Saccharomyces cerevisiae S288C: one gene and its partners. The protein of the gene in region 3 purifies or fractionates together with the protein of the main gene of each other region. This does not show direct contact. Each region holds a gene or a part of one and is shown on either strand. Other genes may lie near its edges.

Region 1 (7,371 bases), on a different chromosome or scaffold from region 3:
GTATTCCATTGGGAAATTTTTTTTGTCTTGCGGATCGCTTTGATTCATTTTAGAAAGAGCCTTAATCTTGTTGTATGTTATATGCTGAAGAAGAATGTTAAGTTTGAAGCTCTATTTGCAGGGCAAAAGATGATCACTTGACTTTATACGCTTTCGTTAAATAGCTTAACCACGCGCTGAAAACTACTATGAGCCCAATGCCAATAAAATGATCAAAGGCGTAAATGAAACCGGTACTGTGTAATAAGCGGAAAAAAAAAAAACAGTTAATTGTTTCAATCGTAATACAAAGCGAAAACCTTTAGTATATTAGTTTTATATGAGCAGTAACTCTTGTTATTCTCCTTCGAACACTGTTCATTTGCTCATCTTTTACTTAACGTTTTTACACATCTTTCTATATTGTATCCCTTTATGAAAAACTTCCAGGCGGTGTCGGCTCGCTTAGAGGGTAATACCAAAATTGTTCAACCCAGGGCCGTCGTTAACCTTGATTCTTTTGGAAAAGCTACTCGGCTGCGGTGGAACTACCTGCAATTGATACAAACAATAGTACAACTTATTACTTTGATGGCTATTAAGCATTATGAGCCCGATAGAGCCGAGGAGGTTTTGTAACAGTGTTTTGTCGCAGTATCTTGAGTGCGTCACACAGGCTTGTGGCAGAACAATAAAGATGTAGCCTTGCGGCTTGAGAAATTTGACCATGCGATGGCACATTGCACCGCGATCCCTGTGATTTTTGACAAAATTTAGCACTAGAGAGCATGATATCAGGTCGAATTTGTCGTTTTCATTTCTCGGTAGCGGTCTTTCCATAAAATCCTGCTTAATAACGCCTTCATGTTCCTCTAAATCTATACGAACCACATTTCTAAAAAGTGCACAACGGGATATGCGATTTCCGGAGCTCAATGAACCAATTTCTAATGCCACTGCTCCAGGACAATTTTCAAATGAGGACCTGATCCATTTCTCGAGCAACTTGGACGTGTCTCCTCCTCGTTCCTTCAATTGCCCGTTTTGACTGGCAATTTGGTAAGTTTCTAGTCCTCCCAATTTATTAATCTGATTCATTATGTAACCAAGTAATGTGTACATCACAGCCAAGTCAGAAGTATCCTTTGATTTGGATTCATTTTTAATTAATGAGTGCAGCCTCAGTAGTTGTGATTCCATAGCATCATTGAAGGACTGCGATTTGCCGTCTTCATAGTACTTGCCCAGTCTTACATTACCTTTAATACTTAACCTGATAATTTTGTCATTCTTCTCCTCGTTGGAATCATCTAGGTTTTCCTTAAGGCATAAAAACTTGCATATCGATTGACGCTTATTAATTAAATGGTGGAATCTTCTTATTATCCTTCTTGTCTTCTGTGGCTTGATTACTCTCGTCACGTTACTTCCTACTTGCTTCCTCTTGCCCGTAATACTCTTCGACTTTCTTGAATGCATTCCGCTGTATTAGTGGTATCGCTAAGCTGATACAAGATTGCCATCAAGGTCATGGCTAGCTCATCGATATTATAATTGTTATATTTTTTTTCACCTCACAAACCCGCCTCAAGGTTAGTTAGTCCGTACTTTTCTTTTTCTCTGAAAAACTTTTCCAGCGATGAGCTTATAAGAATTTCCATCTAAAAAAGTTATATTCGCCAACCTGCCCATCATTATCATCATAACCTCAGGTAGAAATTCTTTAGTCAAATACCGGCATAATCAGTTTTTCCATCATGGGTAAGAAAAGGGCTCCTCAAAAAGGAAAAACGGTCACAAAGCCACAGGAGATAATTGTAGATGAATCCAAATTGAACTGGAAACCAGTAGATATTCCGGACACTTTAGATGACTTTGGTGGATTTTATGGCTTGGAAGAAATTGACGGAGTGGACGTTAAAGTCGTGGATGGTAAAGTAACTTTCGTCACCAAAAAAGATTCAAAAGTGTTAAAAGATAGCAATAAGGAAAAAGTCGGAGATGATCAGGAATCTGTGGAAAATGAATCAGGGTCAGATTCGGAGTCCGAGCTCCTTGAATTCAAGAACTTGGACGATATTAAAGAAGGAGAGTTGAGTGCAGCATCTTATTCATCATCCGACGAGGATGAGCAAGGTAATATTGAGAGTTCAAAGTTAACCGATCCCAGTGAGGATGTGGATGAGGATGTGGATGAGGATGTTTTGAAAGAAAACGTCTTTAACAAAGACATTAATATCGATGATATTTCTCCTGTAAATTTACCTGAATGGACGAATCTTGCACCTCTCTCAATGACTATTTTGCAGAGCTTGCAGAATTTAAATTTTCTCAGACCTACAGAAATTCAAAAAAAGTCTATTCCAGTTATTATGCAAGGCGTAGACGTCATGGGGAAAGCCTCTACAGGTTCAGGTAAAACTTTAGCCTATGGTATTCCAATTGTAGAGAAACTGATCAGTAACTTCTCTCAGAAAAACAAGAAACCAATATCGTTAATCTTTACTCCTACAAGAGAACTGGCGCATCAAGTCACAGACCACTTAAAAAAGATCTGTGAGCCTGTTCTAGCGAAATCTCAGTACTCGATATTATCTTTGACAGGTGGACTCTCTATCCAAAAACAACAACGTCTATTAAAGTACGATAATAGTGGCCAAATTGTCATCGCAACACCAGGTAGATTTTTGGAACTGTTGGAAAAAGACAACACTTTAATCAAAAGATTCTCGAAAGTAAATACGCTAATCCTTGATGAGGCTGATAGGCTGTTACAAGACGGTCATTTCGACGAGTTCGAAAAAATCATTAAACATTTATTAGTAGAAAGAAGGAAAAACAGAGAAAACTCCGAGGGCAGTAGCAAAATTTGGCAAACTTTGATCTTTTCTGCAACATTCTCCATCGACTTGTTTGATAAGCTATCTTCTTCCCGTCAAGTTAAGGATAGAAGGTTTAAAAACAACGAAGATGAGCTAAATGCCGTAATACAACACTTAATGAGCAAAATTCACTTCAACTCAAAGCCGGTTATAATAGATACAAATCCTGAGTCAAAAGTGAGCTCTCAAATCAAAGAATCCTTAATTGAATGTCCTCCATTAGAACGTGACCTATACTGCTATTACTTTTTAACCATGTTCCCAGGTACAACTTTGATCTTTTGTAATGCCATTGACTCCGTGAAGAAATTGACCGTATACTTAAATAACCTAGGCATCCCAGCTTTTCAAATTCATTCTTCCATGACACAAAAGAACCGTTTGAAAAGCTTAGAAAGGTTCAAGCAACAAAGCGCTAAACAGAAAACAATAAATCATTCGAATCCGGATTCCGTTCAACTCTCAACAGTATTGATTGCAAGTGATGTTGCTGCTAGAGGTTTAGATATTCCGGGTGTTCAACACGTTATTCATTACCACTTACCAAGATCTACTGATATTTATATTCATAGATCAGGCAGAACTGCAAGAGCAGGTTCTGAAGGTGTCTCTGCCATGATATGCTCACCTCAAGAATCTATGGGCCCATTAAGAAAGTTAAGAAAAACTCTCGCTACAAAAAATAGTGTTTCGACGGATTTGAACTCTAGATCAACTAACAGAAAACCCATCAAGTGGCAAAACACTGTGCCTTTGTTACCAATTGAAACCGATATACTTTCACAACTCAGAGAAAGAAGTAGATTAGCAGGCGAACTGGCTGATCATGAAATTGCTTCTAATTCCCTAAGAAAAGATGACAATTGGTTAAAAAAGGCTGCTGATGAATTAGGTATTGACGTTGATTCCGACGAAGACGATATATCAAAGAGTAATTCGGACACTTTCTTACTAAAAAATAAAAATAAAAAAATGCAGAAGACTATAAATAAGGACAAGGTAAAAGCCATGAGAGCTACGTTGAACGAATTGTTATCAGTGCCTATACGTAAAGATAGAAGACAGAAATATTTGACAGGTGGGCTAGTGAATTTAGCTGATAACTTGGTCAAAAAAAGAGGTCATAATTCTATCATTGGTCATGAAAAGACAAACGCCTTAGAAACTTTGAAGAAAAAGAAAAAGAGAAATAATTAATCTCGAGGCTTTTGAAGAGAAACTCTCCTTTCACTGTATTTTCTACGTAATATACACGGTCCTCTAAACCCACTATGTACTTTCAACAAAGGAATTAGCTCAATATAGAGCAAAAGGTTTACCAAGTATATATTATATTGTACAAAAAATTAAAAGCGAATTTAATTTAAATCTGGCATCTAGTGATTAAATTCTTTTTGATTCGATTTTTTTCTCCCCCTTTTATTTATTTAAATGAAATCATAGTCGGATCCTTCATCTTCGTCATAATATTCATCCTCAGATTCATCAACTAGTTGTTCAAAATTAACTTTGTAACGCAGCATGGCACCAATACCACCAAAACCTGTGACAAATTGGGCACCTTCTGAAGATTTGTCTGTGATGAATTCCAAGGTAGCACCGAAGTTTTTGTAGTTAGCTGCTAGCCATTCAATTAAAGGTTCTTCGGAGACAACGTCCATTTCTTGGCCGGTAGCTTTGTCAATAGCAAACGACTTGTCCTTGGCTTCTGGTTCAGCGAATTTTATAACCTCATTATCCTCGGCATCTTTAAATGTATATCTGATAGTTTCCAAATTTTCGAAAACAATTAATTTTTCGACTGCACCTAAATCCAATGCCTTTAAAGTATCATCTATACCATAACAGAATTTACCAGTGTCCTGGGAAATTTCGTCAAAATATGCCTCCAATAATTTCTTTTCTTGAACATACTTGACATTGGCCAACGCTTCGGCAGAAAGTTCGATAGCCTGGTTGAAACCGTTTTCACCACCATAAGAAACATCCACGATGGAAATAACCTTACATGCTAGTCTTGGATCGAATAATTCAGATTTAGCCAAATCGGTCTTAAAGTCAGCAGAACCAGCTAAAATTAAACCCTTAACATTGACTTTGTCATTAGTAATAAAATTTTGAACAGCAACTTCGGCGACCTTTCTCACATAATTATGTCTTTTTTCTTCTCTTAAACGAGCAAAACGAAGCGCAGATTGACCACCTCTACCATGCTTTTTTGGCAGATCGACAGTAAATTTATGTAAAACAGTTCTCGTATTACCGGACACAGAACCAAACAAAGTACCTTGACCGTCCATGACTATAAAACCGAACTTGTCGTCAGCTTGAAGCAATTCCGAAAGAACTTCTGTATGAAATTTGTTATCACACAAATATAAGGATGTGTTGATAGGTTTGTAAGGTTCGATGTCAAAAGTGACCTTTTTTTCTTTACCATCTTCAGTGATGATATCACCACAATATAAAACTAAACCGTTCTTGGGCAAAGTATTATATAGCTTCAACTTTTGTTGGGTGGAAGTGATAGCAGATAAAACGGAAAGACGATTAACCCTAGATTTAATATTCGAGGCAGTACCATATTCATCTGTTAACATTTTTTGGTACAGTGGAATTTGACCCTTAGGAGGAATAACTAAGGAAATCATAGAAGTACCATTACCTCTAGCTTTTTCTAAAGATTGGACCAACTTCTTGACCTTCCAGATCTCAATATTTTTTTCAACCTCGTTATCCATTATTGAAGTATTTCCTTTGTCTATTTCTGTAGTCTTAATAAGGAGACAAGCCGAAATGAATTAAGAAATAAAGGTGTCGTTAAGGCCACACCAACAGTATATCAGTTAAAAATACAGTGATGTATTTCATTGATTTGACGCTTAGCACTGGATTTCTGAAAAAATTTTTCATTCAGGGTCAACGGAATAATCCGGGTAATAAAGACGGCGCTATCAAACGGTATTACTGAAAAATGTACAAATGATGAGAGAGCAAGTGACTTAAGTATTCTTCGTACATGCGGTAGCGACAGATTGTAGTTTATGATCTGGTTATAATACCATGTATAAATTGGAAGGATCTAAGCTAAAGTAAATTATGAATTGAATACTGCCCTTCAAAAATTAGATTTTGACAGGATGCTTTTTAACAAGTCTGTTATCCTCTTCATGGAATCACAAATTTAACCAGATATTTGCAGCAGCTATTGGGGGAAATGATGTAGCTAAGGTCTACCTCATACTGCTCATATCCAGCTTTTTACTTACTTTTCGTTTCAAGGCTCCCATACTATCTATAATGAGTAGAAATATCAGATGACTATGTCATTTTGAAGTTGGTTAGAATTTGCTTTTTGGTTTCGACAGCATGTGCACATTCATCATTGACCTTCGCTAAAGGTAGCGCCACCAAAAAGGAGCAATGAATTGAAATAAAGTTCTCAGTCCTCTACTTGTCCAGTTCTTGGCACATTGTAGAGTCTTACGTCAAATGTTCTGTTGGCTCACATACGTGCTCTTCGTATTTTCCATGAATAACTTCAGCTATTTATGTAAATGACGCTCATACTCTTTATAAATCTGAAAATAAATAGCACGCATATACAAAGTGGATCAAGAGGCGTTATATCCAAACATTTCAGACAGAAGATTATATAATGTAACAGAAAAAGTTTTAAAAATTTTGGAATAAAGGAAAAGGTGGTTGGGGAAGAGAATAGAGCTACAGCAAGTAAAAAGGTGCTTTCCTCGAAGTTGCGTCGAAGATGAATGAAAGTAGTTGCTAATTCTTACTAGCACATGAAAAAAAAGGATATATATAATTTTACAAGTAGTGTCTTCATGACGGATTCATAGTCTATCCAAGCGTTTGCCCAAAATTTTGCAGTAAATTTAATGTTTTCTGTATAGGATAATGGTGCGCCATTCAAGTCCCGCGAAAAATGACTGATGTCTACAGGACAGGGGCGCAATATATGTTCTCTGACATTGCACCTTTTGAATATATCATGTGTTTGTTCTGCTATCTGCTTGTAGAAGGGTACGCTAACAGAGCCGGCGGCATTGTAAAAAGTTCTCCTTTCGCGGAAGGATGAGTCAAAAAGCATGTGACAATGAAATAATCAAATTGTGACATCTGCTGACGCGGGATCGTTCCTTCGTATTGTCTAGATTGTAATCTATATAACATACTACGAATATAAAAGAGGGACTACAAGATATTTCTAGCGCAAACTACTGCTTTACTGTCTCACAATGTCTCTGATTGGAAGATACCTAAGAAAATTATTTAACTACATATCTACAAAATCAAAGCATCATGCCTTCGCAAGTCATTCCTGAAAAACAAAAGGCTATTGTCTTTTATGAGACAGATGGAAAATTGGAATATAAAGACGTCACAGTTCCGGAACCTAAGCCTAACGAAATTTTAGTCCACGTTAAATATTCTGGTGTTTGTCATAGTGACTTGCACGCGTGGCACGGTGATTGGCCATTTCAATTGAAAT
Region 2 (6,346 bases), on a different chromosome or scaffold from region 3:
CAGTAACTATGAACTACATAACGATTCTGAGATAGAAAGAAAATATGAATTGACACTTCAAAGAAGTCTGCCATTCATCGAAGGAATGCTGACTAATTTAGGCGCAATGAAACTTCATAAGATCCATTCTTTTTTGAAAATTACCGTGCCAAAAGATTGGGGATATAACCGAATTACTCTTCAACAATTAGAGGGATATTTAAACACTCTGGCCGATGAGGGTAGGCTGAAGTACATTGCCAATGGTTCATATGAAATAGTGAAAAATGGGCATAAAAACTCATGATTGAGGTGCAGTTTTTTACACGACTGCCACGAACAATCTCTTTTTGTCGCAAAATGTCAACGCGCGCCAAAGTGGGAAGTGGCAGATGAGGTGTACAGAAGAAAAGACAGATAAGGTTTATAATTTCACATAGATAATTGAGAAAGTTTGAAATATATACCGCTATAGCTCTGAAAATTATGCATTAACATATATTAGAATTGAATTATATCAAAAAAATACTAAGAAAACATCATAATGACAGTAAAAAAAATAGCTATTCTTTATACAGATGAAGATAACGAATGGAGTAAACCATGGGGCAATTTTGTTGATATGGCTATCAAGCTATTAGAACAGACCAGGAAATTGGAATGTATCGCAGAAGATGTCGAATATGAAGTGTTCCACGTACAAAAAAACGTGTTCCCTCAATTGTCAGATCTTCAGAAAGATGAGTATTTAGGCATATACATCACTGGTTCAAAATATGATTCATTTGATAATGAAATTGAATGGATTATGAAATTAAGAAGTTTCTTAAATGAGATGCTAACTAGCAAGACTGAATATCCGCCCGTAGCTGGAATATGTTTTGGTCATCAAGTTATCGCGGCTGCTCTAGGAAGTTCAGTTGGACGGAATCCGAAAGGGTTTGAAGGTGGGGTTGTGTCACTAAAACTGAACTCTGTGGGTCAAAAGTTATTTGGTGCTCAAGAATTAAATCTTTCTGAAGTGCACAGTGACTGCGTGTTCGATGTCCCAGAGGGATACCAAAATTGGGCGTCAAGTGAAAAATGTCAAAACCAAGGATTTTACAGGCAAAACAGAGTGCTGACGTTTCAAGGACACCCTGAATTCAATAGTGATGTCGCTCAGAAGGGGCTTTTGAAGTCTCAAGACAAGCTTACCCTTGAAGAGTTTAATAGATACGAAAGACAGTGCCAGGAGCTGGATAACAATGGCATACAAGCTGCCAGGAATATTTGGAGGTTATTCTTGCAAAAAATATGAAACAGCTGCTTGGGTTATATAGTCGATAGAGGACGTATAGGAAAGATAGCTTATAAGGTTTTTTTTTTTTTCAATTTCAACTAGTGTTGCATGAAGGCCTCGCTACGTCATTTCCTTCATTTCCCAGAATTCTGCAGAAACTTTATCAAATCACTCCAATGATCAGTATCCGAAGGTTCGGCACTACATAGTTTCGTTTATTAAGTCCAATAAATAAGCTTTTTTGTATGCACTTTTTTTTCGCTCATGCATAATGGATATAGCTGACTGAATGTCAGTAGTAATATCTGCGAGAAAATATGACACTAATTCTTGAGGTTTGTTGATTTACGTAATATGGTCCTCGTATAGTTAGAACGTTGTTCTAAAGAGCTAATGGCAGTTTCACTGCAGCGACCAAACAGGCAAGTTACACTCTCTGAGAACTAAACTTCTTGAATTGATGTCTGACCACGTTGGCATTTCCCAGTAAATTCAATAGGCTCAAATTAGCGGAAGAAAGCAATTTGTTATCTTTAATTAACCCTCAAAGAAATAGATACATCAATAAATGTCAACAGAGGCTTGAACTTATTTCACAATTTGTTCTCTTGTCCCATGTCAGGTGTAAAACTGACGGAAAGAACAACGTAAGATAATTAAGGTAAAAACAAAAAAAGGAAAGAATCTAGGCCCACATCGCCTTAGATCCACAACATGCAGAAATAGTAGCATACTTCTCCATTCAAATAACCCATTGTTTGCCTGCTTGAAAAGGAATTTTTTTTTTTTACTTTTTAATAATCCTGCTGTTTTTAGTGGCGTTTTTGTTCTCAACACTTTCCCAAGAGTATTCTCCCACCTCGCAAAATTATGGAATTTTCTTCATAATCAACCATGCCAAGAGCTTCTATAAACACCGGTGTATTTTTCAAGCCAATCTTTCATCTGAGGTTCGTCCAATACATTCAGTGGTATGTCTTTGTCCCGCAAGACTGCAACTAACTCTCCAAAAGCCCTTGCAGATTCCTCTTCAGCTTCTTCTGGATCTTCTTCTGAACTTTCTTCTGAACATAAGCCTGAATTCTCTTTCTCACCTGAAGATGAACATCCTTCTTCAGAGGTAATCACCCCATCTGGCCATGCCGCTGTTTCATTCAATAGAGGATAGTTATCCTCTTTCGGGCTAGCGACATCACCATTTTTATCCTCAATTCTACTTTTCAAGGATTCTTGCGAAGTTATGTCCTTTTTCAAGTGGCTCATGAAATTCTTATTAGTTAGTTCTAAAATTTCTCCCATGCTTGGCAGACTAGACTATTCTTTTCAATGTCCAAAGCCACTACTACGTTGCGTTAGTTTGACTCTTCACTCTCTCGTACTGAAATCCTCTATGCGGAGAAATACAGCGGACGGATTGCGTGACAGGCACCTAATGTATTACTTAAATCCCAAAACTGGAAACTCGGCGTTCTAGAAGAATGGTTTTGATTGACCCATAAGATATTCCATTAGTTGTGTATCGCAAGGACTGACGCAGAGCTAGCATACCTGCTCGAGGATTATACAAGTAGGTGATGCAGTAGGTGATGCCTATAGAACTGGGATGCAACAGGAATTCAAGTGGATAGGGATTATACAGTATCAAGGAGCTGATCTCTATCCGAAGATTAGCGTCTTTAATGGTTCATTCCAAACTGCAGGAAACTAGCAAGCTTTGTAAACTGAGGATGACTTGGTATTACACGGATTTTTGTACAGAATGCACTGAACACCAACATCTTACGCTGCAACAAGATATATCTTAATGACTTGAAAAGTTTATTTTTTTGAAGCTGTTCACTAATAATGTCCTTCATAGTAAAGTCATGGTGGATTGGTAGCAGTTCAAAAATAGGAATACTACGTTTAGATGAATGCATTAAAGCCGGACCTTTCAAGCATAAAAGACATATCTAAAGAAGGCAAAAAAAAACGGTAAAGCAGAAGAAACGAGACGGTAGATACAATTCAAAGCAACATATATTTGAAAAGGGTCTTCAACTTAAAAAAACCCTTTTTCATTGCTTTTTTTTATTTTTTTCCTTAAATTGTTGATGTCAACATGACGTATAATACGTCTCGGTCATTTCACTTCCCCTCTGATTAATAGCCCAGCGGTTAGAATAGCCATTCGAACACAGAAAGCTTCCAATTTGATTATATGGTAGGACTTAAACTTCCCATATTAACGAGTCTTCTGAGCCAAGGGGAATTTAGGACGCTCAAAAGTTGGGTTAATTTGCTTATCTAGCGGTTTTGAAGAAGTACGGGCCATTTAAATGTAGGTTGACAGGAAACCAGCTTTCATCGGTTGGATGATAAAGTACAAATATCCAGAAGAAAACTGCTGTTGCCAAAAAAGTTTTGTTTGAAAAAAATAACACCACAATTTTGCTTCTTCGATGGCAAACTGATCAGAATCAAGAGACAAAGCTGCTGTGGTGGTGTTTTGTTAAACGTGTCTGTGAATGACTTCTTTCCGCTTGCGCACATTTTTCTACTGGCTCTCCTCACTAAATGTTAAGATTTCTGATATATGTGGACCACATTTCACCATTGTTGAAATGGACGGTATGATATGATTCGAATAAGACCTGGAATATGCACTCTAGCATACCAGGAGCTCTGGACATTGTATTCTTCTCATCTATTGTAAAACATCTCTCAATAGTAACGTATGAGTAATGATTCGGAATGGCATCTAGATTAGCAAATACTTGCTTGCTTGTTGAGGATAACCGTAAACTCGTCTGTTCTTAGTGCAAAAACCGTCCCAAAAGTAACAGACGGTAACTCATTCTACATTAACATTGGATGATATGTTGACAATAAATTCCGAGGGACAGCTCCGTTTCCTAGTGAATCTCGGTGGTTGTAATGAGGGTAAATCGCTGAGCATTTTTTTTTCTTCTCTTTACTACACCATTTAGAGTTCTCACTTTGTAAAATTCCGTCCTGATATGAGAATATATATCTCCACGAAGCAATACCAAGCACAAGAAAAACATAGCAATTTTTGCAAGGCCCGGTAACGCAAGATGTGATAACACGCTGCATCATTTTAATTAAGAGCGCGCCACTTCTCCAGATAGTGCTGTATTCATATATGTAAGTGCTCACACTTTCTGGGAACAGCGGAGTCATTAGAAGACTGGCTTCGCTGAAGTTGCTAGAACGAGCAAATTACAACATTATATTCAGCTTCAAGAAAAAACGCAGACAATGGACTCAGGATGATGAGAGGTTCCTTTGTACCACTAAGATCGACTCGTCCTAACCCTATATCCCAATCCCAAGACTAGGCGAACCAACATTAACTGGGCTCGTAATAGGGCAATGATAATGCAAAAGCGGCTCCTAAACAGAAATTCTTCAGTAGTCAAATCTCGAAATTGCCTTGCTCGTCATCAACATGAATCGTCTATATCAAAACTGCATGTTTCTCTACGTCTACACAGATGTTTGCGTCCGATTGTGCGCTTCGATTTTTTACATAATGCTGGAAGCAAAGTTTGCTCTCAGAATTCCTGCCCTTCGCCCCAGTTACACGTGGGGACAATGGCGCTCTTTCATACAGTCTTCATTCTATGGCCGCACTTTTGTGGCATTCTCTGGACCGTCCATGAAAAATTATATAACTATTTGCTTTCTATTGAAGTCTATTGAAGTTAGCGTGGATAGAACGGCGTTACATGGCACATCAGCTGAAGCTAGCGCAAGTAATTTTCAACGCATTCAAACGAAAAACTTATCTAAATACAATTGTAACATACCGGCTTGCTGTGTGTGAACCCCTTTCCCCAATTGTATATCAGAAACGTCTGAGTGGAGGGTGAGGAATCACTCACTACCTTTTCTCCATTCGACGCCTATAAGCAGCGTATTTTAAAGGAAAGGGGAATTAGTGCGGAGATGGGCCAGAAATGTACTCTTTTTTTGGCAGAGTTTTTCCGGGCGGGACAAAACAATGGCGTGGGGTGATGAAATAAGCAAAATTCAATATCCCTTATGACGGAATGGCAGAATTGGCCACCATTTTGTCTTGGCATTCAATATACATACAAATCTTCACTACCGCGATATTGTTGGTAATGGAGATTGCTTTTTGGCCTCCTGGCTTATAGGGCTCTGAGTCTCGTGGTAGTGGAATCCGGCACAGAAACGAGAATCGGATATTTGGGGCCGGGCCATGTACAGGCAAAAGAAATAGCGAAAATATCTCTTATTTTTTTCGCGCTTCCTTTGTAGTAGAAATTATTGGCGATCGGATTACTATTCGCGGAAAAGAAATTAAAAATAGCGAAGAACTTAGAACTATAAGCCTCAAAAGGAAACTTGTGTGGTCGAAGGCTGGACGCCATAATAATATATATATGTACGTATATATATTATATATGAATATCTGTAGCCGCTAACTTGTGTGTTTGTGAATTTATATAGGATAAATAGAGCAAAATTACTCGGCATTGAAAAATGAAACTTCAATTGGCGGCAGTGGCTACATTAGCAGTCTTAACTAGTCCGGCATTCGGTAGAGTACTTCCCGATGGGAAATACGTCAAGATTCCCTTCACAAAAAAAAAGAACGGCGACAATGGTGAACTCAGCAAGAGATCGAACGGCCATGAAAAATTTGTACTAGCTAACGAGCAAAGCTTTTATTCTGTTGAGCTAGCCATTGGTACACCTTCACAAAACCTCACTGTGCTGTTAGACACAGGCTCAGCTGACTTATGGGTTCCTGGCAAGGGAAACCCCTACTGCGGTTCTGTGATGGACTGTGACCAGTATGGCGTGTTCGACAAGACCAAGTCGTCCACGTTCAAAGCCAACAAGTCCTCGCCTTTTTATGCCGCTTACGGTGACGGAACCTATGCAGAAGGTGCATTTGGTCAAGATAAATTAAAGTACAACGAATTAGACCTCAGTGGTCTATCGTTTGCCGTGGCCAACGAATCTAACTCAACCTTTGGTGTGCTCGGGATCGGCCTTTCCACGCTTGAAGTCACCTATTCTGGAAAAGTCGCTATTATGGACAAGAGAAGC
Region 3 (8,255 bases):
GTATATTCTAATATAAAATGTACGAGCATCATTAACTTCAAGAACATTACGAAGCCCGCAATTAAGTGTCAGTCCATCTGGGTGTAAAAGTTATGTACGCTCGAAACAAATTTTATGTAGTTTACTTTAGATGCAAATGCTATTATATATTTTGCTTTATGATCCTCGGCTTGATGCTCGCCAACGTGAGATAGCTGGTCATCACAATAGATCAGCCGGGACGCTTTTCGATCACATCGAATCCCTTCGGGACGTTGCAACAATACGTGAAAAATGCCTCAAAAATAATAAATACAATGGTGAACAACGTTAAAAAAGCATAAAACAGCTGGCTATTTTGATCAGGATAACATCTATAAGTGCCATATTAAGGCAAGATATCAATTGACCATGCAAACACCTTCAGAAAATACCGACGTAAAGATGGATACTCTCGACGAACCCAGTGCACATTTAATCGAAGAGAATGTAGCTCTTCCCGAAGACACATTCAGTTCACATCTGAGTTATGTACTTTATGAAATTGCTCATTGTAAACCGATCATGTTTATGATCATCATAATCGTGAGTTTGATCTCATTGATTGTGCTTTTTCATGATAACGACGGGTGCACTGTGATCTTAGTGATGTCCCTTATAGTAGCCTCCATGGCTTTAATGGTGGTTGCAGCATTCACATTCGGGAAAGCGATCACTGAACAGGAGTTCATGATAAAGCTTTTAGTGGAGGTGATCGCACGCAAGCCTGCGGGGAAGGAATGGGGTACTGTCGCATATAATATGAACCAATATCTATTCATGAAGAGACTATGGTATACCCCGTACTATTTCTATAGCGGCAAGAAGTGCCATGAGTTCTTCACCACTCTTATCAAGGAAGTGAATTCTGGTTCGCACTCGGATTCCTCATCGAATAGTGCCGAGGATACACAATCACCTGTCTCAGCAGGGAAGACTTCAAATGGTCTAAACAACTTTTATAGTATTAGATCAGACCCTATTTTGATGGCATATGTTTTGAAGGCAACACAAATAGAAAAGGAGGCTCAAAGTGAATACTGGAGAAAGCAATATCCTGACGCTGATTTACCTTGAAGCGGAAGCATTTTATTCACCAAGTATACTTACTTTTCTTTAAAACGAGAACAAGAATCGAATTCAAGAACATCTCGAAGCCAGAATTGAGCATCATATATTCGAGCTGTACAAACATCATGGCCTACAACTATCGTATTTGTAAGTTTTTTTAGAGGTTTTCATATTTGTTTAATAAGGGTTCTGTCAGTTTTTGTCACATTCTATTGTTGCGCTTCGCATAATGCAGCCAAGAAAATCCAAACAATAGAAAAAGAAAAAAAGGATCTCAAAAAGGGTTTGGTGTTGTAGTTATAAGAATAACTAGTGAATAAAAAAGCTGTTGTTTGGTCCGTATTACATTCGTCAAAAATTTAGTACTCAAATCGTGTATGCAATCGCAACCACAAAATAAAAATATTAGACTGGATGTGTTGAGTGGAGATGGTGCCAATTTAGTTGAGGGAAATGTGGTCCTTCCCAAAGACATGTTCAATTCGTACTTAAGTTATTCACTTTACGTGTTACGAGGGGGCTCATTGTAAGCCGATAATGATTATGTTCCTGGCATCTGTAATTTTGATTTCACTGACTAATTTCCGAGTATACCATCTCATGTCCCTTCTATCCTCTTTTTTCATCTCCGGGACAGACCGACAATAAAGCATCTAATATTAGGCTTTCGTTAGAGGTAAGCACACGCCAGCGTTCGGTGAAAGGGGAATGAAACATTATCACGTACAAGATGAATAAATATCTATTTGACCATAAAATATGGAGTACTCCTTACTACTTTTATTGCGAAGAAGATTGCCACCGTCTTTTTCTAAGTTTTATTGAGGGAAGAACTTTCGAGAAGCCAACAAGCAACGCTGAGGAAAATGTACAGGAGACTGAAGCTGGCGAATCTTTCACATTAAATCCCGGAGAAGATTTTCAAAATTGCTTTCCAAGACAGCGGATATTGTAGAACAATCTCAAGTGAAGTATTGGCAAGATATTGGTGCAATTATTTGAAAGGAAGGAGAAATATTCTGACAGTACCTTGCTAGCAAAGGGATTTACCAATCCACTGACGCTAAAATGGGGTAGTAAATTAGATAAATTGCATTCTAACGTGACTTTATATAGTGGGAAACAGATATGTAGCACACAAAACGGCATGATTATGCTTAATTGATTCCTATTTTTTAACGTAAATACTCTCCCAGAACGATCAGAAAACTTAACCCGCAACCATCTTTGCTGTGCTAACAACTTATGTCGCCTCAATACCATTTTTATTTTGTATCATTCCGGAACTTAGTATTGAATGAAAAATGCCTCCGAAGTAAAAAGCAGGTGATGAAAAGTTTCAATTGGTATAAGACAGATCGCTATTTTGATCCGCATAACATCCTTCAACACCATAGCAGAGCTATAGAGAAGACAAGATATAAACTGGGCATGCAAACATCTTCAGAAAGTACCGACGCCAAGTCGGATTTTCTCGACGAACCCAGTGCATATTTAATTGAGAAAAATGTGGCTCTTCCCAAGGACATATTCGGTTCGTACTTAAGTTATTGGATATATGAAGTTACTCGTCATAAAGCGGCAGTAATTTTGCTCGTACTTATTGTGACTTCAATTTTATTATTAGTGTTTTTTTATAATACGGAATTTTGCGTTGCCTTTGAGATACTATTGTTTTCCTTTTGCTTTCCAGGAACATGCATGGTTGTAATTGCATTTAGTGAACCGATCGGTGATCGGGAATTTAAAGTTAAGCTTCTGATGGAAATTATCACACGTAAACCGGCGGTAAAGGGGAAAGAATGGAGGACAATTACATACAAGATGAACCAGTATTTATTTGATCATGGGCTATGGGATACTCCCTACTACTTTTACCGTGATGAAGATTGCCACCGTTATTTTCTAAGTCTTATTAAGGGAAGAACTTTCAAGAAGCAAAAGGAATCGTCAGCCAGCAATGTTAAAGACGCACAATCAAATGACGAAACCGCTGGCACACCAAACGAAGCCGCTGAGTCTTCTAGTTTTAGTGCCGGACCGAACTTTATAAAGCTCCTCACCAAGGCAGCCGAAATCGAACAACAATTTCAAAAGGAATATTGGCGACAAGAGTATCCTGGTGTCGATGAGTTTTTTTAGACAGAAGACGGGAGACACTAGCACACAACTTTACCAGGCAAGGTATTTGACGCTAGCATGTGTCCAATTCAGTGTCATTTATGATTTTTTGTAGTAGGATATAAATATATACAGCGCTCCAAATAGTGCGGTTGCCCCAAAAACACCACGGAACCTCATCTGTTCTCGTACTTTGTTGTGACAAAGTAGCTCACTGCCTTATTATCACATTTTCATTATGCAACGCTTCGGAAAATACGATGTTGAAAATGCCTCTAGAGATGAAAAACAATCGTAAAAGGGTCCTGCGTAATTGAAACATTTGATCAGTATGCAGTGGCACAGAAACAACCAGGAATACTATAGTCATAGGCAATACAAGGTATATATTGGCTATGCAGACCCCTCCAGAAAGTACCGACGTCAAGTTAGATACACTTAACGAACCTAGTGCACATTTAATTGAGAAAAATGTGGCTCTTCCTAAGGACATATTCCGTTCGTACTTGAGTTATTGGATCTATGAAATCGCTCGCTATACACCAGTCATGATTTTGTCCCTGGTAATAGGGGTTTTGGTTTTATTAATTATATTTTTTAATGACAACGAAGCTTGTGTTTTCAATTCTGCAATATTTGCTTTTACTTCTCTTGTAGGTTTGTTAATAATATTAAGTGATGGTAATCCAAAGCTAGTCAGTCGTCGAAATTTTAGGACCGAGCTTTTAGTGGATGTCATCACACGTAAACCGGCGGTAGAAGGGAAAGAATGGAGGATCATCACATACAACATGAACCAATATTTGTTTAATCATGGGCAATGGCATACTCCGTATTACTTTTACAGCGATGAGGATTGCTACCGTTATTTTCTACGCCTTGTTGAGGGAGTAACCCCCAAGAAGCAAACAGCCACGTCAATTGGCAATTCTCCGGTCACCGCTAAGCCTGAAGATGCCATCGAGTCAGCTTCTCCTAGTTCCAGACTGAATTATCAAAACTTTTTGCTCAAGGCAGCGGAGATCGAACGACAAGCTCAGGAAAATTACTGGCGAAGGCGGCATCCCAATATCGATGCGCTTCTTAAAAAGACGGAATAGCTTAGAGACACTACCATACGTAAAGCGAACATAAACTAGAGTATGATATATAATCAGCACTAACTGGCCGGAAAACGGCCGAAGGAAGCCTCGAAAAGTCGATTCGTGTTGGACCCATTTGCTGAACAAAGTGGTTCATTGCCTACCTATTATGGTAGTAGTCGTGATAATCGTGTGGTTGGTTTTGTCAACGGTGCATTTGCATTTTCATGACAATAAACCTTGCGTTTTCGTTCTCGGGATATTACTTTCCCTCCACTTCTTTCGCCTCAATAGCTCCTATAAGCATTCTCAGGGCGTATGTCGGTGATCGAGATTTCCAAGCAAGCTTTTAGTGGAAATCATCGCGCGCAAGCCAGCGGTAAAGGGAAAAGAACGGAGGACGATTACATACAAGATGAACGAATAAATAAATTAATAATAAATAATAATAAAAAGTACAGTAGCATTAAATATTATTAAGTTTAATGATTAAAAATTGGTTAATTGTCAAGAAAATCTAAGGTATTAATAAATAAATAATACTATGACAACTTGCAGCGAAAGCATCAGCCCCAATGAAAATTAATCAGAATTGAATCTGAGCGTATTTATTTGATAACGGTTTACGTAACTGTTGGAATAAAAATCAACTATCATCTACTAACTAGTGTTTACGTTACTAGTATATTATCATATACGGTGTTAGAAGATGACGCAAATGATGAGAAATAGTCATCGTTTTCAACGGAAGCTGAAATACAAGGATTGATAATGTAATAGGATCAATGAATATCAACATATAAAACGATGATAATAATATTTATAGAATTGTGTAGAATTGCAGATTCCCTTTTATGGATTCCTAAATCCTCGAGAAGAACTTCTAGTATATCTACGTACCTAATATTATTGCCTTATTAAAAATGGAATCCCAACAATTATCTCAAAATTCCCCCAATTCTCATCAGTAACACCCCACCCCGTATTACTTTTACCGTGATGAAGATTGGCATCGTTACTTTCTAAACGTAGGACGTGCGGAATGACAAAACCATCAGCAGTGTCACGATCTCTCCAGTCACAATGGCAATCATGAGTGCATAGTCCAAAGTAAAGGGGCAAGGAAAAGCATGATTGAAAGGACTCCCCATCTGGACTCTATATGTCATCAGCGGCTAAAAAAAAGCATATAGCACAACATCAGCATCAGCATCAGCACTAGAGTCATCGGCCCGGCGGTCCGCGGTCATCCCCGCGGACTTTCCGTCCGCCCGGCGGGCTGTATCAGCGTCAACTGGAACGCGCATATATATACAAGACACACATAACATAGAAGCACACCCACGACAATAACCACACGACAATAACCACACCCGCCCACCCCTCCTTTCCGTATACAATGCCAAACTTAAAGAGACTACCCATCCCGCCACTGCAGGACACGCTCAACCGCTACCTGGCACGCGTGGAACCCCTGCAGGACGAGCGCCAAAACCGCCGTACGCGCCGCACTGTGCTCTCCGCAGAAAACCTGGACGCATTGAACACGCTGCACGAGCGGCTGCTAGAATACGACGCACGGCTCGCGGAAAGCAACCCAGAGTCCTCATACATCGAGCAGTTCTGGTATGACGCGTACTTGCTATATGATGCAACTGTCGTTCTCAACGTCAACCCGTACTTCCAACTGCAGGACGACCCAACCATCAAAGACACACCAGAGACGGCGGCACAGGGCCCCTATGGCGCACACACGGTGCAGGTTCGTCGTGCCGCACGACTCACCACCTCTATTCTCAAGTTCATCCGCCAGATTCGCCACGGCACACTCCGCACAGACACTGTGCGCGGCAAAACGCCGCTGTCGATGGACCAGTATGAGCGGCTATTCGGCTCCAGTAGAATCCCTCCGGGTCCCGGCGAGCCCTCTTGCCACTTGCAAACAGACGCCACGTCGCATCACGTGGTGGCGATGTATCGTGGCCAGTTCTACTGGTTCGACGTGCTGGACACACGCAACGAGCCCATCTTCGCCACCCCAGAACAACTGGAGTGGAACCTCTACTCGATCATCATGGACGCGGAATCCGCCGGAAGCGGATCCGCGCCCTTTGGCGTGTTCACCACAGAGTCGCGCCGGGTGTGGTCCAACATCAGGGACTATCTGTTCCATGCGGACGACTGCACCAACTGGCGCAATCTCAAGCTGATCGACTCCGCGCTGTTCGTGGTCTGTCTCGACGACGTGGCGTTTGCCGCCGATCAGCAGGACGAGCTCACGCGTTCGATGCTGTGCGGGACTTCTACCATCAATCTCGACCCGCACCAACACCAGCCGCCATTGAACGTGCAGACAGGCACCTGTCTCAACCGCTGGTACGACAAGTTACAACTGATCGTGACCAAGAACGGTAAGGCGGGCATCAACTTCGAACACACCGGTGTGGACGGCCACACTGTGCTGCGGCTCGCCACAGACATCTACACAGACTCGATCCTGAGCTTCGCACGCGGTGTCACCAAGAACGTCGTCGACATCTTTAGCGACGACGATGGAAAACCATCGTCGTCGTCGTTGGCCTCGGCGGCTCACTCCGCCAACTTGATCACCATCCCTCGTAAACTGGAATGGCGCACTGACAATTTCCTGCAATCGTCGCTGCACTTTGCCGAGACGCGCATCTCGGACTTGATCTCGCAATACGAGTTTGTTAATCTTGACTTCTCCAACTACGGCGCGTCCCATATCAAGACAGTGTTCAAGTGCTCGCCAGACGCCTTCGTGCAGCAGGTGTTCCAGGTCGCATACTTCGCGTTGTACGGTCGCTTCGAGACCGTGTACGAGCCTGCCATGACCAAGGCGTTCCAAAACGGCCGCACAGAGGCCATCCGCTCCGTCACGGGCCAATCGAAGCTCTTTGTCAAGTCACTACTGGACCAGGATGCCTCGGACGCCACCAAAATTCAGCTCTTGCACGACGCCTGTACGGCGCACTCGCAAATCACAAGGGAATGCTCCCAGGGGCTCGGCCAGGACCGTCACTTGTATGCGCTCTACTGCCTCTGGAACCAATGGTACAAGGACAAGTTGGAGCTCCCACCCATCTTCCGCGACAAGTCCTGGACTACCATGCAGAACAACGTCTTGAGCACCTCCAACTGCGGTAACCCCTGCCTCAAGAGCTTCGGGTTCGGGCCTGTCACCGCCAACGGCTTCGGCATCGGCTACATCATCAGAGACCACTCCGTCTCTGTGGTGGTGTCCTCAAGGCATCGCCAGACTGCTCGGTTTGCGTCGCTCATGGAAAAGTCGCTGCTGGAGATCGACCGCATCTTCAAACGGCAGCAAGCTCGCGCAGCAAAACCCGCTGCCAGGACCACTGCTAGCGCCAACACCAAATCAGAAGACATGAAATACCTGTTGTCCGGCTACGATTACTTCGACGTGAGCGTGTCCGGTTGAGTTTATGCTGAGTTTTTGCGCATCAATATTATTTTTACTACTACTACTACTACTACTACTACTACATACTATTAAATATACTAAATAAGAGGAAAACGCTTTGGAAGTGACTGGCGCCGCCGCTGGCTACTATAATAGCAGCGACTGTAATTTAATCTCATCCCGTCGTTTGGATTACCTCTTTTACTCGCCGAGCGAACGTGCACCAAAAAGGGAAAGGAAAAAAAGAAAAAAAAAGGAAAAAGGAAACTCAAAACTTGGATAAATAGAAGCACTCAAACTAAATTAAACTGCCAAAAAAAAAAAAAATAAAAAGGGAAAAGTTTAAACATCAAAGTACACCTTTCACCCCTCCACACACCATGGAACAACCTGATCTATCGTCTGTGGCCATCAGTAAGCCGCTGCTGAAGTTGAAACTTCTCGACGCCCTTCGCCAGGGAAGTTTCCCCAACCTACAAGATCTCCTAAAGAAACAATTCCAGCCGCTAGACGACCCA
Region 4 (9,763 bases), on a different chromosome or scaffold from region 3:
ATATAAGTCAATGAAAAAAAAAGTGGAAGGTAATAAGAAGAACCGTTGCGGGAAGAAAAGAAGGAGTTTATGTTTATATACACCGGTGTAGGCTGTGCGTTGGTGTGAACACTTCCTGTTGCTGTTGCTGTTGAAGCCGTCTCCGCATGCAACTGTAGTCATACAGCCTCTTGTCTGCCCTTATTCAATTGACCAGCTAACAATAGCTTCGCTTTCTTTCTGAAAAATCCTCCAAGGGGTATTACTTGTGGGGGGTTCCAGGAACCCATAGGCCGGGGCATGTTTCACGGGAAGTTCTGTGGCAGGAAATGGTCCCTGAGTAGCCGCGCAGGTGGCTTTTGCCTTTGCCGTACCGATCGGGAAATTGTGCCCCTGAAAGATTCCGTTTACGGCGCTTCTGTGCAACCTCTTTGGGCAAGCTTTGCTCCTGTCAATAGAGCAATTATTTGACAAGGTTTCTTTTACCTTGTTTTATGTGGGTTAAACGTGGGAGGAGAACTATAAATCACATGTGCTGTCAAGAGATTATGTTAGTTACGTAGCGCGCTTAAGCTTTCTTAAATAGTATCGTAAATGAGTTCCCGCAATTTGTAGTCTTCGTTAGCTTCTTCTATTTCTTCCCAGTTCCCGATTAAGTCATTGTGTCCTCTGACCACACCTGGAAGACTCCTACCCTTGCTGAAAGTCTTCCAAACTTTTCTCGCTTCATCATCTGTGCCAAGATCTCTGTAGGTGAACGGGATTCGGTTGGCCGTCAGGATTGTGCTTAAGCGATTTGTTCTGGGGATCATATGGAAACCGCCTCCGGCTAGTGACGTGTATATATATACAGGTTCCTTTTCATTCAGCTTCCGGATCTCGCTAGTCGTTATTACGTCTTGTGGCTTGTCATTGTTTTTCTTGGATTGCTCAGTAGTTTGAGTTGTGGAGTCTTTCGCATCTAGTGATTGGAGTAGAGCGTTTAGTTCAGAATCATCAACAATTTTTAGTTGCTCTAAAAACTCATTCGTTTCGTCCAAAATATCTTTGAAGATGTCATCTGCACTTGCTTTCTTGGGATTTTCCCTTGTACTTTGATCTTCAAATCCATTTTCGTCATTGTTTGGGGCTTCTTTACTGATTGACTCTGTTTCATTGAAGTCTAACTGGGATACCTCCTCTTCTTCTTGCTTAATTTCATTCTTTTCCTCCGTGATGTTTTCTTCCACTACAAGATCAGGAAGAGAAGTTTCTTTCTCTGTTTCTTCTACTTCCAATTCCTTGTCTTCTCCTTTATTATCCTTTATATCTTGTTTTTCCAATTCTGGCAATTCGACTGTCCTTTGAAATTCGTCTGAAATGTTGATATCGTCGATCTCTTGATCTCCGGTGACATCTTTGAGCGCCTCAGCAATCTTAGAATTTTCCATATTCTCGTCTTCTTTTGTCACGGCTTCCGCATCCTTTTTTGAAACTTCTGCCTCCGTACATGTTCCATCCTCTATTGGAGTCTCAGCAGGTTCCGAACATTTTGTTTCGATGTCTTCTTTTGAAGTTGCAGCAACTTCCACATCTTCATTTTCTTTATTCAGTTCAGCAGTGACTTCTGCCTCTTTTGGAGCGTCAAGATTTCCAAGCTCTGCCTTTACCTTGATAAATTCAGTTTTTTCGGAATTCTCCACTTCTGCATCTTCCTCGGTGTCAACTTCCACATCTTCATTTTCTTTATTCAGTTCAGCAGTGACTTCTGCCTCTTTTGGAGCGTCAAGATTTTCAAGCTCTGCCTTTACCTTGATAAATTCAGTTTTTTCGGAATTCTCCACTTCTGCATCTTCCTCGGTGTCCTTCTTGACAGATTCGCTGCTAGGTTCTATATATTTTTCGGCAGTTCCAACATCACTTGCTTTTGAATTTTCGCTCGCAGCCTCAGTAGCTTCACCATGTTCATGATTTGTATCTTTGCCGGTGATTTTATCGCCTTCTTGTGTAATTTCAAAGCGTTTGGGTTTTTCTTCTTCTTTGAAACTAGTAGTAGATCCTACATCTCCCATATCCTTTTGTGTAGTTTCAGCTTGTTCTGTTGAAATTTGAACGCGCTGGGATTTGGGATCTTCTTCTTCGGAATTCTCAATGGTTGTTGCAATTTCTGGCTTTACATCTTCATCGGGAACTCTAACATCTTCCTTTAGAACCTCAGGATCTCTTTCGTTGATTTGAAGATCTTCTGGTCTTCCGGAGGTACAACGCTTAACTACTTTTGGAGACTCAGGAGTCTTCGATTTCTCAACCTCTACACCTTCTGCACTTTCTCTTGCTGTTTCATCAACCTCTTTTTTTGCTTTCTCGTTGGAAAGCTCAGCAGTCCCCTCTTGCTTCTTTTTCATGTCTTCACTGATAGACTCAGCACCTCTCATTGCTATTTTATCATCTTTCATGGCCTTAACAGGTTCATCCAGCTTGACTTGTTCCCCTTCTTGATCTTCTTTGGCAACCTCGAGATCTTCAGGTATTATATTTTTTTCCACAGCCTCAACAATCTCTACATCATCCCTAGGCGCGTCAGGTATATCGATTTCTCCGACAACTTCCGTAGGCTTGTTTTCCTGAGTAGGTGCTTCAGCTTCATCTTCAAGAACAAGGTTATCTTTAGAAATTTTTGCAGAGTTTGCGCTTCCCTCTATTTCAATAATGGAAGATTTTTCTCCCGCTTCTGACTGCTTTTCATCTCCCCCCATAATTTCCTCTCCTTTTGATGTAGATTCTTCTTCGGTACCGGACACTTCATTATTTCTTACAGCTTCTTGCTCCCCGGTTACATTTTCTTTTTTAACTTTTGAAAAAGTCGAATTTTCTTCTTCTTCTTCTTCTTCTTCTTCTTCTTTTTCAACTTCTACAGATATATCGTTAGTACCGTGTTGTAGATTTTTTTCATTGTCACTAATGCGCTTTGTTGGTCCCATCGTTTCGTCATCATAAGTCTCTCGCTCAGTTTCTGGAGGGATGATACTATCACTACCAGCTGCGTTAAAATTATGGCTCATGTTATTCTCATGATTAACAGATAATTCTTTCCTACATTTTTCGTCTTCTTTATCCTTCTGTTCAAAAACATGGTCTTCTTTCCCGATTTCTGTTTCTTTCTGATTTTTTGCAAGAACTGAAGGACTTATTCCGTCTCTATCACTTTCAGTCTGCTGCTTTTCCCCAGCTTTCAAATGTTTTGATTCGTTCTCTTTGAAATTAAACCCATTCTTAGTTAAACTTTCACTTTCAACATCCTTAGTAGACGCTTGCCCATTTTCATCACCTGCCTCCAAACCGTGCGGCTCTAGTTGGTGTTTAAAAGAAGCTGCATTTCCCTCATTAACATTTAAGATCTCATTCTCTTCTCGAGGTAAGGTATGTTCTGCCTTTTCCTCGTTGATATTGTTCTCGGACTTTGAGGAAGTTTCGTCAACATTATCTTTGTTAGGCACATCTATGTCGAAGGTTTTGTCACTAGATTCATTTCTGGTTCTGATATCCATTTTTTCGACATTAACAGGCTCATCTTGGACAATATTTACTTTGATATCCTCGTTCTTTGAACCATCTTCCTGTAGGTACTCTTCAATGCCTACTAGTATGGAATCTAAAGTTGACTGTTTTGACAAATCAGTAGTATCTGCAGGATTTGAAGAATTACGACCTCTTCTATTCGTGGTTTTTTTCTTTTTGTTTTTTTTTCTTCTCGTAATTGGGCTATTGCCAACCTCAATTCCTGTGGATTCTTTGATTGGTGGTACATTTTCTGTGCCTTCCGCTACATTGTTAGTAGAAGTTTCTTTGATAACTACATTGACGTCTATTGGGATCTGTGTGGGAGATTCTGTAGCGTCATTTATTGTATCTGTGGCTATCTCTATTACGTCGTCTTTTCTTTCCAAATCATGAGAGATTGCATCCCGTGTGGAAGCTTCCTCGGTTTCACCAACAGAACTGGAAAGTTTTACAATAGTATCTCTGTCACGATTCGCCTTTATTTGTCCCTGGTTTTTCTTTTTATGACCTTTCAATTTAGAAGATTTCCTTTGAGATGATAATTCCTGTGCAAAATTCTCAGTGGCATTTATCGCTTCATCTAAGTCACTTTCTGTAAGTTGATCTCGACTTTCTATAATATCATTCGTACTTGGTAAGGGAAGATCTGTAGCAAGTGTCGAATACGAATCTCCAGCACTAGTTACCGATGGGGGTTGAACATTGTGTTCCTGATTTTCTACAGTCAAAGATTCTACCATGTCACTCTTTATTTAATCCAGAGTAATCAAGCACACCAGTACAATAATTGCTAACAGGTTTAAAAAGAGAAAGTGTTCTGGAATAAAACCACTTGCTTATATGCGAAGTGACTACGAAATATTAAGGGAAAATATACGACAATTTCGTGTTCAGAAACTTAACAAATATTTTCATCTTGTCTGTTATATTCTCGGAAGCTTTAGGATAAATTTATCCTTAAAAAAAGGACTGCGCAAGCCCGGAATCGAACCGGGGGCCCAACGATGGCAACGTTGGATTTTACCACTAAACCACTTGCGCTTATTTCTTGGAAGTGTTCGTGTTCTAATAAGGTCACAACAGCTCCAACATTAACCAGAAATACCTGTAAATAGCCCCGCCACGAGGCAACAATTGTCTCTGTATTCTTATCTTTCTCAATAAGCACTTATTAGTTAGTTTACATCCGAGTTCTTGAGCACTCCCCACCTTTTTAGTAGGTCTGAAGTCTTGTTTACAACAGCGGGCACCTCAAGATTGAAAGGAGTTGAGAGTTAGAATATATAATTTTGAAATTAAATTTGAAAATGATGCGATTACCACCGGCAAGTATTCAAAACAAAATAAGACGAGGGAGCTTCATAAAAATTAGGTCGTATATGTTGAAATGAGAGGATTTAGTACATTCTGTATTCATCATATTATAGCCTTTACCAACAATGAAACTCCAGTAATTATCAAATTATTCTCCCAATTCTCACCGAACATGCGGCAACGTTAGGTACGGATCGCGGAAAACACTTTATTTTGTGCAGAGGTACTGTCATGAATACTATGTCAATAAAAAAAGTATCGCATTATCACCACGCCTATATAACATAATCTAAACTATTCGTGAGGGTACAGAAATCCATTGAAATGAATTGATAGTTCTACACGATATCGCTGTCATTTTATTGTACGTTTCAAGTTTTACTAAATAAAAATGACATCTGAAACAGATTAAGTTTTTTTGTAACTTGTGCCCGTTGAAATAGGAATTAACTGTTATAATTGACAATATTCATGTCAACACTATATAGTAATATATAATAAAGAAGGTAACTTAAATGGCGATAGGCGGTCAACAAGTCTAGGGAATCAGAAATGCAAGAATGAATAACGTAATAGGATAGCGAAGGAACATATCAAAAACAAGGGAAAAAAAAATTGGTTCTATATCTAGATATATCTAGAATTTTTGGACTGGTTTTATCTCAATTTCCACCTATCTTTATGTATTATCTTTCGACCGTCTTATCTTTTAATATGGTGGCAGGAATACCAGTCAGACAATGATTGGATCTTGTCTCGGGTTGTTTGTTATCACGTAAGCACCACAGTCCGCTCCGTAGGAAAAGAAAAATAGCCGCCGAGCCACGGGAGCAAATGAGTGAAGAATATGCGCAACGTTTTGGTACATATACAAAAAAATGTAGAAAAGAAGCTAAAGAGATTGACGTTACGTACATATGTATGAGTGGGTAGGTGTGGACGACACTAGGGAGGCTTTACTTCTCTCCAAACATGTGAAGCTGGTTATAGATGTCCTTCTTAAAGTCCTCGTACTTAAAAGACGACTTTCTACGCGTGCCCAACTGTGGAGGAGAGCCGTGTGGGACTCTTGCGCTGTTACCATTGCTGTTGTTGTCAAGGTACGAGTTTTTGAAAATGGGTCTGTTGCCAGCACGAGAACAGATCGGTGTATGGGAGATGGAGTCACCCATATCCACGCCAGCGTGGCTCAGGTCAGAGTCGTTAGTGGTCCTGTATTGCATATTGTGGATAGTATTCTGGAAATCCATGGGTCCGCTACTCCTACGTTCGGCTCCCGGGGCGTGCTCCCCGATACTGCTTTCGCGTTCCCGGGCTTGTTCCCTGGAATTTAGTGCGTCCATATAATTGGTAGACCGCCGTCTAATCATGGGGACTGGCTTGTCTACGCTTTGAGCGGGAGCGCTTGGACCCGGGAGGTTGAATGTAGAAACACTAGGTGTTTCCTGTGCACAGGGCGGTTCGTCGATGTTGAGGAAGTCCTGTGATCTTTCAAATGTGGGTGACGTGCTCACTTGGGGCGTGTTCAAGTGGGGATCTGTCATGAGGGTGAGTGTATGCGTGTGTGTGTGTGTTGCGTAGATGTGTGATTTACTATGTGTTATGTAGCTGCTCTCATCGCTGCTGATAGTAGATCTCTCGCGCAAAAATTACTCAGGCAAACCTTTACTATACCTACATATATATATATATATATGTATATGTATGTGTGCAAGCTTTTCAGAGTGGTGCACTGACATTGACCGGGCCACTCATTCCACCCCACATCCCCCAGATCAGGGGGAGATGTTAACGAAAGGAAACAGGGGATTTATCACTGGTTACGGGAGCGTAGTGACTGTACTACAAATTCGCACACAAGCAGCGCCCAGTGACGAGTCTCCGCGGCGTCTAAGTGCCGGAAGTCATCATCCACGGTGTGCCATGTACTTGGGAATGGTAGCGGGATTGCATGTAATACGGGTACTCCGGCGGCCAGGAATGGCGTGTGGTCGTCTCCGATGACCGAATGCCCGAGCCCTAAAAATCGATAGTCCGTGGGGTCCAGATGTTTGCGTTGACGCGCGACTTCGGCGGCTAATGCCGATTCGCCGTTGATTTCATCTCCACGTCGAAATAACAAGTCATCCTCTATTCGATTGAGCAGCTGATATTCTTGATGTGTCTCTGCATAGTAGCTGGGCACTAGCGGCTCCTCTTCGCCACTTCCTAAAAGATCCAGAAGAAATAATAGGCGAATTCTTGTCATCGTGCCGTCAGCAAGCCATTGGGCGGCTAATCGGCGTGCTCCATAAATCGAGTCCTCGGGGCCCCACTCTTCAATGGCCTCCTCTCCATCAAAGAATACGATCTTTACACCCAAGGTAGAATTCGATACTACAGTGTTCGACTCTAAGTCATTGTACTCTTTCGTGCGCTCGTGGCACGCGATGTGCGTTAGGAACTGGGCCGTATATAGCAGCGCGGCACACGAGGCGGCACTGTCGATAGCGCCCACCATCCCCGTGGGCGCTATCTTGGTATCATAATGAGCAGCGAGCACTAAGTACTCGCTCGCATTGTTTTGTAATGTCATAACAAGGTTATTGAAGCGGTAACCGTTCTCCTCAAAGGCTTGCGTCTCAACGGCCCATTCTCCCGCCAGCGTATTGTTGAAGTGCTCGATGATGAAGCGCTGGATCTCGCGCGAGCCTTCCGATCCGGGTACGCGCGTTCTGTTAAAAGGCAACAGCAGGTTCTTGGTACTTTTGTTCCAACCGCTGTCTGGGTTGATAGCTTCGTTCAGATGCGCTGCATGGTACTGCTCATATGACAACTCCCACCCAGTTACCCTATGCACCTGAAATAGCACCAACAGGTACGCTAGACCAATTAGTCGCAAAGGCAATACGTACTTCATTCCCATGCTTACGACCTTTTCAGTCTTTTTATTTCTTTTCTGTTGACTCTCTCTAACTCTCCCTCTCCCCCTCTTCTTCCCATGAAATGTATCACAAGCCGTCTTATTCCTTTGCTTCTTATATTCTTATGTTCCTTCCTTCGTCTCGCCTCGAAGGCAACGCAAACGCAATGTACTTCTTGACGAACGCGAAAACCATATGGAAAGTAAATAAAGGGCCAAACAAAAAACTATTTCGAATAGCAAGGTAGCTTCCATCCTGTACATGCAAGACCGTCACACAGCATGTCATCGGAAGAACCCCATGCATCTATATCCTTTCCAGATGGCTCACATGTCCGGTCGTCCTCCACTGGTACTTCATCTGTGAACACAATCGATGCTACCTTATCCAGACCGAACTATATTAAGAAACCGTCCCTGCACATTATGTCGACATCTACGACGTCGACTACGACGGATCTAGTGACAAACCCAATTCTGAGCAATATCTCCGTGCCAAAAATAAGCCCCCCCACATCATCCTCGATAGCAACAGCGACATCAACAAGTCACGTGACCGGCACTGCGTCGCATTCGAACATTAAAGCTAATGCTAACACTAGTACCAGCGTGAATAAGAAAAATTTGCCGCCAACAACTAGTGGGAGGATACCCTCTAGCACCATCAAGAGATATCCGAGTCGCTATAAGCCTTCTCACTCGCTGCAGCTGCCCATTAAGAACGACTCCAACTTTAAACGATCTAGCATATATGCCTCCAAATCCACTGTTACTGCTATCCCCATTAGGAACAATCGGCCAATTTCCATGCAGAATTCCTATGCGCGCACTCCTGACAGCGATCATGACGACGTTGGCGATGAAGTGTCTTCGATAAAGAGTGCCTCTTCTTCGTTGACCGCATCCCTGTCCAAGAGTTTCCTGTTCGCATTTTATAACAACCGCAAGAAGGACAAGACCAGTAACAATGGTGTCCTCTCAAAGGAATATTGGATGAAGGACGAGAGTTCTAAAGAATGTTTCAGTTGTGGTAAAACGTTTAACACTTTCAGAAGGAAACACCACTGCAGGATATGCGGCCAAATTTTTTGCAGCAGTTGCACTCTCTTGATAGATGGTGATCGATTCGGCTGTCATGCCAAGATGCGAGTATGTTACAATTGTTATGAGCATGCAGACACATACGAGGACTCCAGTGATGAAGAGAATGATTCTACAATGCAATTGAATGAGCCAAGGTCTCGCTCTCGCTCTCGTTCTTCCAATACCAATCCATATTCTCATTCACATTCGCATTTGCATCTCATTTCACAGGACAACCATAACGGTACCGATCTCCATGATCCAGTAGCAGCAACGGATAACCCTCAACAGCAGAATGAGGTCTACCTATTAAATGACGATGACGTACAAAGTATAATGACCTCAGGTGAAGATTCTAAATTGTTCATTTCTACACCCCCACCACCACCGAAGATGGCCATCCCAGCAACAAAGCAAGGCGGATCGCTGGAAATCTCATTCGATTCGGAAAACGATAGGGCTTTGCATTATCAAGATGACAACCCCGGTCGCCATCATCACCTCGATTCCGTGCCCACAAGGTACACTATCAGAGATATGGACAATATATCACATTACGATACCAACTCTAATTCCACTTTGAGGCCACATTATAACACCAATAACAGCACTATTACCATCAACAACCTCAACAACACTACTTCCAACAACAGCAACTATAACAATACCAATAGCAACAGCAACATCAATAATCCTGCGCATTCCTTAAGAAGGTCTATTTTCCATTATGTAAGCAGCAATAGTGTTAACAAGGACAGTAACAATAGCTCTGCAACACCCGCTTCGTCTGCACAGTCTTCTTCCATACTGGATCCTGCCAATCGTATTATCGGGAATTATGCTCATAGAAATTACAAGTTTAAATTCAACTACAATTCCAAAGGTCCTTCGCAACAAAATGACACGGCAAATGGAAATAATGATAATAATAATAATAATAATAAT

Evidence for each region.
Region 1: the proteins of YAT1 (region 3) and SUP45 fractionate together in Saccharomyces cerevisiae (co-fractionation; one large-scale study listed by BioGRID). This does not show direct contact.
Region 2: the proteins of YAT1 (region 3) and YLR125W fractionate together in Saccharomyces cerevisiae (co-fractionation; one large-scale study listed by BioGRID). This does not show direct contact.
Region 4: the proteins of YAT1 (region 3) and AIP5 fractionate together in Saccharomyces cerevisiae (co-fractionation; one large-scale study listed by BioGRID). This does not show direct contact.

Annotation. Positions count from the first base shown.
Region 1 is NC_001134.8:526,581-533,951, forward strand, and holds SUP45 (translation termination factor eRF1), read right to left. Parts: upstream 5,603-7,371; coding exon 4,289-5,602; downstream 1-4,288. Other genes in the region: GTPase-activating protein IRA1, read right to left, coding at 1-48; BMT2 (25S rRNA (adenine2142-N1)-methyltransferase), read right to left, coding at 445-1,458; MAK5 (ATP-dependent RNA helicase), read left to right, coding at 1,737-4,058; YBR144C (uncharacterized protein), read right to left, coding at 6,655-6,969; alcohol dehydrogenase ADH5, read left to right, coding at 7,182-7,371. UniProt on the Saccharomyces cerevisiae protein: Component of the eRF1-eRF3-GTP ternary complex, a ternary complex that mediates translation termination in response to the termination codons. The eRF1-eRF3-GTP complex binds to a stop codon in the ribosomal A-site.
Region 2 is NC_001144.5:389,698-396,043, reverse strand, and holds YLR125W (uncharacterized protein), read right to left. Parts: upstream 2,561-6,346; coding exon 2,150-2,560; downstream 1-2,149. Other genes in the region: APC2 (anaphase promoting complex subunit 2), read left to right, coding at 1-286; YLR126C (putative amidotransferase), read left to right, coding at 524-1,279; YLR122C (uncharacterized protein), read left to right, coding at 4,713-5,090; YPS3 (aspartyl protease), read left to right, coding at 5,774-6,346.
Region 3 is NC_001133.9:184,502-192,756, forward strand, and holds YAT1 (carnitine O-acetyltransferase YAT1), read left to right. Parts: upstream 1-5,691; coding exon 5,692-7,755; downstream 7,756-8,255. Other genes in the region: KTD1 (DUP240 family protein), read left to right, coding at 391-1,095; DFP2 (DUP240 family protein), read left to right, coding at 1,820-2,044; pheromone-regulated DUP240 family protein PRM9, read left to right, coding at 2,335-3,231; DUP240 family protein MST28, read left to right, coding at 3,606-4,310; YAR035C-A (uncharacterized protein), read right to left, coding at 7,836-7,916; oxysterol-binding protein related protein SWH1, read left to right, coding at 8,118-8,255. UniProt on the Saccharomyces cerevisiae protein: Involved in the transfer of acetyl-CoA into mitochondria. May also be involved in the metabolism of acetate and of ethanol.
Region 4 is NC_001138.5:176,485-186,247, forward strand, and holds AIP5 (Aip5p), read right to left. Parts: upstream 4,260-9,763; coding exon 558-4,259; downstream 1-557. Other genes in the region: IGD1 (Igd1p), read right to left, coding at 5,790-6,377; YFR018C (uncharacterized protein), read right to left, coding at 6,647-7,738; FAB1 (1-phosphatidylinositol-3-phosphate 5-kinase), read left to right, coding at 8,018-9,763.